Linked DNA regions of Daphnia pulex. The protein of the gene in region 1 purifies or fractionates together with the protein of each later gene. This does not show direct contact. Links are inferred from orthologs where the notes say so. Each region holds a gene or a part of one and is shown in the gene's direction. Other genes may lie near its edges.

Evidence for each region. Proteins that work in one complex are often made in the same cells at the same time.
Region 2: the proteins of FACT complex subunit spt16-like (region 1) and casein kinase II subunit beta fractionate together in Homo sapiens (co-fractionation; 4 studies listed by BioGRID and IntAct, with this or other methods). This does not show direct contact. The link is inferred for Daphnia pulex from reciprocal best matches to the Homo sapiens genes SUPT16H and CSNK2B.

What each region holds. Positions count from the first base shown.
Region 1 is NC_060017.1:5,830,485-5,834,244, forward strand, and holds the start of FACT complex subunit spt16-like, read left to right. Parts: upstream 1-1,379; 5' UTR 1,380-1,637; coding exon 1,638-1,706; intron 1,707-1,772; coding exon 1,773-2,033; intron 2,034-2,104; coding exon 2,105-2,253; intron 2,254-2,318; coding exon 2,319-2,472; intron 2,473-2,530; coding exon 2,531-2,679; intron 2,680-2,739; coding exon 2,740-2,854; intron 2,855-2,911; coding exon 2,912-3,211; intron 3,212-3,288; coding exon 3,289-3,324; intron 3,325-3,386; coding exon 3,387-3,563; intron 3,564-3,627; coding exon 3,628-3,720; intron 3,721-3,760. Other genes in the region: adenosine 5'-monophosphoramidase HINT3-like, read right to left, coding at 10-57, 131-257, 319-385, 438-555, 765-845. UniProt on the Homo sapiens protein: Component of the FACT complex, a general chromatin factor that acts to reorganize nucleosomes. The FACT complex is involved in multiple processes that require DNA as a template such as mRNA elongation, DNA replication and DNA repair.
Region 2 is NC_060025.1:6,073,318-6,077,077, reverse strand, and holds casein kinase II subunit beta, read left to right. Parts: upstream 1-1,393; 5' UTR 1,394-1,533; intron 1,534-1,564; exon of another isoform or gene 1,565-1,634; intron 1,635-1,902; 5' UTR 1,903-1,906; coding exon 1,907-1,978; intron 1,979-2,207; coding exon 2,208-2,310; intron 2,311-2,383; coding exon 2,384-2,575; intron 2,576-2,695; coding exon 2,696-2,994; 3' UTR 2,995-3,555; downstream 3,556-3,760. Other genes in the region: FK506-binding protein 15-like, read right to left, coding at 1-46, 115-266, 339-437, 524-674, 736-897, 978-1,033. UniProt on the Homo sapiens protein: Regulatory subunit of casein kinase II/CK2.

The sequences.
Region 1 (3,760 bases):
TTGCGTGTTTTATAACGAAGCGCTGTGCTTTTTGATCCATTCGATTGCTACTTCCGGCTGTAGGATGAAAAGAAAATTAAGTAATTTCAACTTTTAACACATTCAAAGGTTTTAAATTCGTAAGTAGTACCGTTGCGAAATAAAATGTTCCGGGCCGAAATACTTGACGTCCTATAAAACTCATAGCACTCTCAGGAAATATCACGTGTAGGTGCAGATGTTTAATAGAATTAAAAGGAGGCCAATGAAATCCCATTCTACAATTTAGTTGAAATCATTACTACCAATTTTTTATGAGGGTAAGAATCCATATGATACCTGCAATCACTCAAGTCTCCTCCATGATTCTTCACAAGTTGCTGTCCTACAGCTACCATTTCTTCAACTAATAAAAAAATATTGATAAGTTTATTTGAATTGATAATCAGGCAATTTACCCATGCTGACTGTTTCTATGGTAAGACTTTTAATATCATTGATGTGATCTCTAGGAATGACTAGAAGGTGGTTTTTAGCAGATGGTTTGATGTCATTAAAAGCCAAATATTTTACATCCTATTTATGAAAGGAAATACAGCATTAGGAAATGTATATCTTTATCTTATTAAGTACCTTATTTTAATATATCTAAGCCATTTCTTACTGTGATTTTCAGGTAATAGCTAGTCTACATTAGATTAATTGATTCCCTGGAAGAAAATAAACCTATTTGCTACAAAACGCATAATTTAATTGGTCAAAAATGAGAGAGGAAGAGCCTTAACCTGATGAACGATAGTTGCTGGCGCCAGACCTTCACAAATCTGGCAAAAAATGCATTTGATGGACTTTTGTACTGAAACCATTTTTAGGGAATTGTACTGTTTGTTTGTTTGTTTGTTTTTTTTTGAAGATAGGTGCACTGGCCGATTGTACTGTTTAGTTCAGTCATACGTAAAAATATTGACACTGACTGAGGGAATGGACTTTTCGCGTAGTCTGCAATTCTGTAAGGATGCCAAATTCCGAAAAGCAACAAGTTGTTTGTCATGATTTCGAATTCGAAGTATTCACTTAGATTCATGCAGTAGGACATAAATATCCTGTAGCATAAAAATCTTAAAAAAAATAAAAAAATATGCATATTTCCAGAGCTATAGAATCCCTGGTCGGTTCTCGGCTGTGTTGGCTTCCCTATCCCGGTTTCAGGGTAAACGTGGTCCGATTTGGAAACTGGAATGAGCGCTCTAGTGAGTGTGTCAGCTACTACGCTCAGCTACTTTTGAGAGCCTAGATGGCTCTGTTTCTAGTTTCCAATGACAGGCCCCGCCCTAAAACCCCCTGAAAATCGGACCACGTTTACCCTAAAATCGAGATGGGGAAGCCAACACGGCCGAGAACCGACCAGGTATCTATTGCTCTGATATTTCTGAAAAATCAATGGATAATATTATTATTAAAATCATAGTTGGCAACGCCCAGGTCTTTATGAACTTCATTCTGCTTTTTAGAGGGAAAAGCATGGGTTGCGTTGGGTAAACGGTCTGGCAGTTTTTTGTAACGAACCTCAGTACAATTTCGCCATTCCAGATTCGTAGTTTCAAGTTGAAATATTGCAGTTTCCCATTCGACTTGGATGATCCCATTTGTTACTGAAAATGGGAAGTCTCGCTGCAGATAGAGAGGTGTTCTTTCGAAGGATAAAGCGATTCTATTCGTCTTGGAAGGTAAGTTGGCGTCAAACAACCATGACAGTTGGATTTCATTTCATGCAATGATATAATATCTTATAGAATGAAGACTCTGAACTTGGGTTTGCTGATATGGATGCATTGGTCACAGCTTTGGGGGCGGATGAGGAAGTTGTGTACAGCAAAACATCTGCTTTACAATCATGGCTTCTTGGATATGAATTGACTGATACAGTTATGGCTCTGTGTGAAGATTCCATCTATTTCCTTGCAAGTAAGAAGAAGATAGATTTCTTACGCCCGCTGGAGGCAATTAAAGAAGAGAAAGGCTTGCCCGCTGTTAAGCTGTTGATTCGTGACAAAGTAAATCATGATACATATTTTCCATGTTAGAAACATGGAACTTCAACAAAGAAATTTTTCTATTTTTTTAGAGCGACAAAGATAAAGCCAATTTTGTGAAACTTATTGAAGCATTGAAAAAATCTAAAAAAGGAAAAAAGCTTGGAGTGTTCTCAAAAGACAGTTTTCATGGAGAGTTCATGGATGCATGGAACAATGCCATCAAGAAAGAAAAATTTGAGTAAGAAACATTAGAAAGTGTTATTAGAAATATATAGATAACAATGTGTGAAATCATATTTTCAGGACAGTTGATGTTAGTTCTGGGGCAGCTTATATGATGGCTCCTAAAGAAGAATCTGAACTGAATGTGATCAAGAAAGCATGTCAAGTATCTGTTGATTTATTCAACAAATATTTAAAAGAACAGGTTATGGAAATTGTAGATGCAGATAAAAAGGTTTGAAAAATTTATTATTTTTTTTTCAATGGGACTTAATTTGAATTTATTTGTCAAGGTCAAACATTCAAAATTAGCCGAAGGAGTGGAGAACGCAGCCACTGACAAGAAATATGTTTCTGGTGTCGATACGGGTCAAGTTGATATGTGTTATCCAGCCATAATTCAAAGTGGAGGGAATTACAGCCTGAAATTTAGTGCAGTGAGGTACATCTATCAATTAGCAAACTTTATGTGAATACATTAATGCTTCTTTTTATTTCACAGTGATGATAAACCCCTTCATTTTGGAGCAATTGTTTGTCTTTTAGGAGCACGTTACAAATCTTACTGCTCCAATATTGGTCGAACCCTTCTTGTCAACCCCACTGAAAAGATGCAGGTAAAGAAAAAGATATTTCCATAAATGAGTCTAGATTACATTCTTATGAACTTGTAGGAGACATACAACTTCTTGTTATCGGTTGAAGACGAAATTTTGAAATCTCTCGTCGAAGGAGCAAAGTTTAGCGATGTTTATAATGCTGCTGAGGCATACGTAAAGAAAGAAAAACCAGCCCTTCTTGACAAGATGACAAAAACCCTTGGCTTTGTTACCGGAATTGAATTTCGAGAAAGCTCTTTGGTGATCGGCCCGAAGAATAACGCAGTTGTCAAAAAAGGAATGGTCTTCAATGTCAATCTTGGATTTGCTGACTTGGAAAATTCTGATGGCACCGATGATCGCTATAAGAAATATGTATTTATATAAATTAATAATATTTATTTATTTATTTGTTTATTTAAATATATATTATTTTATTTTTAAAATATTAGGCTTTGTTTTTGAGCGACACTGTTATTGTATCCGATGTAAGTTATAATTTTGAACTTTTTCTTCTACTTGTTTTTTTGACGAGTAACATTATTTTTAGGGTCCAGCTACTATACTTACTGCTTCGAAAAAAAGGATTAAGAATATCGGTATATTCCTTAAAGATGAATCTGGAGAGGAAGAAGAGGAGGAGGAAGAGGACGAAGAAAAGCCATCACGACAGCCCCAGAATTTAGGTCGAGGCAAGCGGACCGCTATTCTTGATTCTAAACTTCGGGTACATAGTACTTTTCTTCTTATCATTTTCCATTGTTATAATTTATAATTTGTGTTTCTTTCAGGAAACATCTACCGAAGAAAAACGTAAGCAACATCAAAAAGAATTGGCTTCTCATCTAAATGAAGAAGCCAAACTTCGGCTTGCTCAGCAGAAGGTAAAGAAGACAAAAAGAAAATAAATGTGCAAAAGAATAA
Region 2 (3,760 bases), on another chromosome or scaffold:
GATTGCTCCACTGAGGGGTAAAATGGGCTGACCAAGTTTAGCAATTCTGTAGTTTAGAAACAATCAAATATGTTTGCATAATACTTGGAATTATTTAACATTTACTTGCATTACCGAGATATAAGTTTGGTTTTGTTACTATCTTGACTGAGTGTTTCATTTGCAATAGGGTTTGTTAATGGGCCATCTATTCTATCAATGGAAGACGCTTCTGCAGATGATGGCTTATTCATGTGTCCAGCCAAAACATTTTTCATTTTATCAATCTACAAGTAATGTCAAATACATTTAAATTATAGTGAATCACATATTGCTTACACTTAACAATTATTTAATACCTCTCCAAGAAATTTCTGAGCAACTTCTTTGGAATCAAACAGAATTGCCCAGTTTTGCATGTGGTCATCATAAAATGTACAGAAGTTGTTTGGTTGACTCTGCAACAAAACAGTGGAGAAACATTATTTAAGTTTAAATAGTAGTGTAAATAATCCCCCCCATCCACAAAAAAAATTGTACTTACAATTATGGTAAATTCTGAGGTGACCCTTACACTTGCTAGTGGTTTCTGCTTATTTTGGTAAAGGATTATCTGATAAGTTTTATTACTTTCATTTTCTTCCAATAAGGCTAATCCTATTTTTCCAGGAAGTGGTTCATATTTTTCATTATTTCTGGAAATGATAAACAGGAGAATAAAATAAATTAATTCTTTGATTTGGCTTTCCTCCTTACAGTTTATAACATGTGACAGCAGCTGCAGCAATAACTGCTTGGGACATGCCCTTTGTGGTTGGAAGTGTACTACTTGGAGGTTGTTTAGGTGCCGTATAGATTAATGACTTTGAATTGGATTGGTGGATCCCCGAATCGTGAAATATTGATGCTAAATTAGAACTAAAATAGCGATTTAGTGTTATAATTTTTTATATCATGAACATCTATTCCTAATAGAAATGACTTAAGAATGATATTACTTAATTGAAATTGAGCCAAAGTCATCATCTTCTTCATTTGAAAAACCGAATGACATTTTCACAACATTGAGTAGAGTTGATAACGCTTCACGGCGGATATATATATTCTATTATCGTTTACTGAATGAAAATCAATAGATGGCGTTGAAAAGATTACAGACAAGATTACGATGGAATTTCCGAATAAATAAACAAAAAAAGCCATCTAGCGGCTAATATTTACTGGAAATAAATAAGAAGAGACATTGAAAAGCAACGTACTACCTACTAGGCCTACTTCATTTCTTTATATTTTCTATATTATATTTTCTTCCTTCAAATTGTGTGATTCTAAGGAATGGGTTCTCTTTAATCATGTTTTTTATAAGAAAACTTCGCGCTTTCACCACATAATCATGAATTCATAAGGAATTACTTGTACTGCACACACACTTCTTCTTGTTACTAATAGATGTCACCTTACAGAAAAAAGCCTGTGTAGAAATAAGGCCCTAGGAGAAAACGAGATCGACTTCGCACACATATTTGTTAGGGTGGCGAACAGAGGCTTGAAGAGGTAAGATTTATTGAATTTCAACTGTTATGTTTACGATTAATTGTATTCAATTTTGACTTGGAAAATATTCAACGAAACAGGAGGGGTCATAGTGTACACGGGTATGGTAATTTCGTCGATTCAGCAATTTTTTTAGTGAGAGTCTACATAAGAATGAGAATGGTGACTTGGGGAGAGTTTACATTACGTGTTCTGAAGGGAGAGGTGTGCACAGTTTGCACACGCTGAAGGCTAGACAGGGAGAGAGGGCGCGCATTGCAATCAGTAAACTGATGAGTAGAAATCATTGATTTTTGGATTTGTGAACTACATCAACGGCTTTGTTAAACGAATTACATCACGTTTTGACACAAATTTTCTCACCCATAGAAAAATGAGCAGCTCCGAAGAAGTTTCGTGGATCTCCTGGTTTTGTGGCCTACGTGGAAATGAATTCTTCTGTGAGGTAAGATAAAATTAAAATTAAATTTGATGTGATAGGTCAAAACATATTAGAGCACTTAATATTTCAATCAGTTGATCAGAAAGTGGTAGAATTTGACTGATGAAAATCACAGAATTTTCTTTGGATTTTGCTATAACAAGTGCATTTGATTCATTAAGACTTGGAAAGGAATAATTGTAATTTCAAATTTAAACAATTAATCTAAGCATATTTTGTAATTGCTCAACAGGTTGATGAAGATTATATCCAAGACAAGTTTAATTTAACTGGACTGAATGAACAAGTACCACACTATCGGCAGGCACTTGATATGATTTTGGACCTAGAGCCAGGTATAAATAACCAATTGAATTCTTTCATTCATATTCTTAGTGTAAATCATTTATCCAGTATTTTTCATTTAAGATGATGATGTTGAAGACAACCCCAATCAGTCTGATTTGATAGAACAAGCTGCTGAAATGCTTTATGGGTTGATTCATGCTAGATACATTTTAACAAATCGTGGAATTCTACAAATGCTTGAAAAGTATCATGCTGGAGATTTTGGTCATTGCCCAAGAGTATACTGTGAGAATCAACTGATGTTGCCAATTGGTAATATAAAAAAATATGATTTTATTTGTTATTACTATATATTTTACTATTTATTATATTTTTAACTTTCACTAGAAATTTATCTTTTATCTTGAAATATTTTTGGGTTCTCCTTCTCAGGCCTATCAGATGTTCCAGGGGAAGCTATGGTGAAGCTTTATTGTCCAAAATGTATGGACGTCTATACCCCTAAATCCTCCCGTCATCACCACACTGATGGAGCGTACTTTGGGACAGGATTCCCCCACATGCTCTTCATGGTTCACCCTGAATATAGACCGAAAAAACCAACCAATCAATTTGTCCCACGACTTTATGGCTTTAAAATTCATCCGTTGGCCTATCAGATCCAACAACAGGGCGCTTCTAATTTTAAAGTTCCGATGCGTACTGTAAGCTACAACAACGGGAGAAAATGAAACTGAATCTGCTTATTCGCCACTTATTCATTCAATGTTACCATTTAGCATAGGCGACGTTCAGAAATTATGTACTGCGATTTTTGGCTTATTTTTTTTACCCCCTCCTCCCCCTCTTGTCAGATTGTCACAAAAGCCCCAACTCTAACAAAAACGTAACGTTTGCCGACCCCCATCCCCTATTTTCTGGAACTTAATAAAAAACTGAATGAAAATTGAATTAAAGTTGGTGCCTACATTTGGTTCCATTAGTTAAGCGCTTAATTGATTGGTGTTTCTCGTATCAGCCTATTCCTTCATTTGTGCTGTTCGTTTTTATGGTGAAAAGGTCGCAACACAAGCTGAAGAGATATTATGTCATGGTGCGTCAAGAGTGTCTCAACCCGGAATCCCATTCGTTTCTCGAAACCCATCTATTTCTTTATGTTCCGTACTACGAATCTACTGCATAACTTTTGAACGTCGCCATAGCAACTCAATACCCTTTTGATTGGTTACATGATTAACCCGAGCTGTACAACAAATTTGATGGAAACAAAAGATAATGAATTTTTTTCTTGATATGTTATGTACTTTATTTGTCAGATATTTAGTTATCTTAACACTTATGCTTCAAATCTACGTCAGGAAAAAGACGTAGGATGTTATTATAACCGTACAATGTTATAGAAAAAAAAGGCCCAAAAACCTAATAAGCTTGTTAGCTCCAGTGTATAGGAAATTCACTACGCGGTGTTAAGTTACTTGGAATTCTATTAAGTTTATT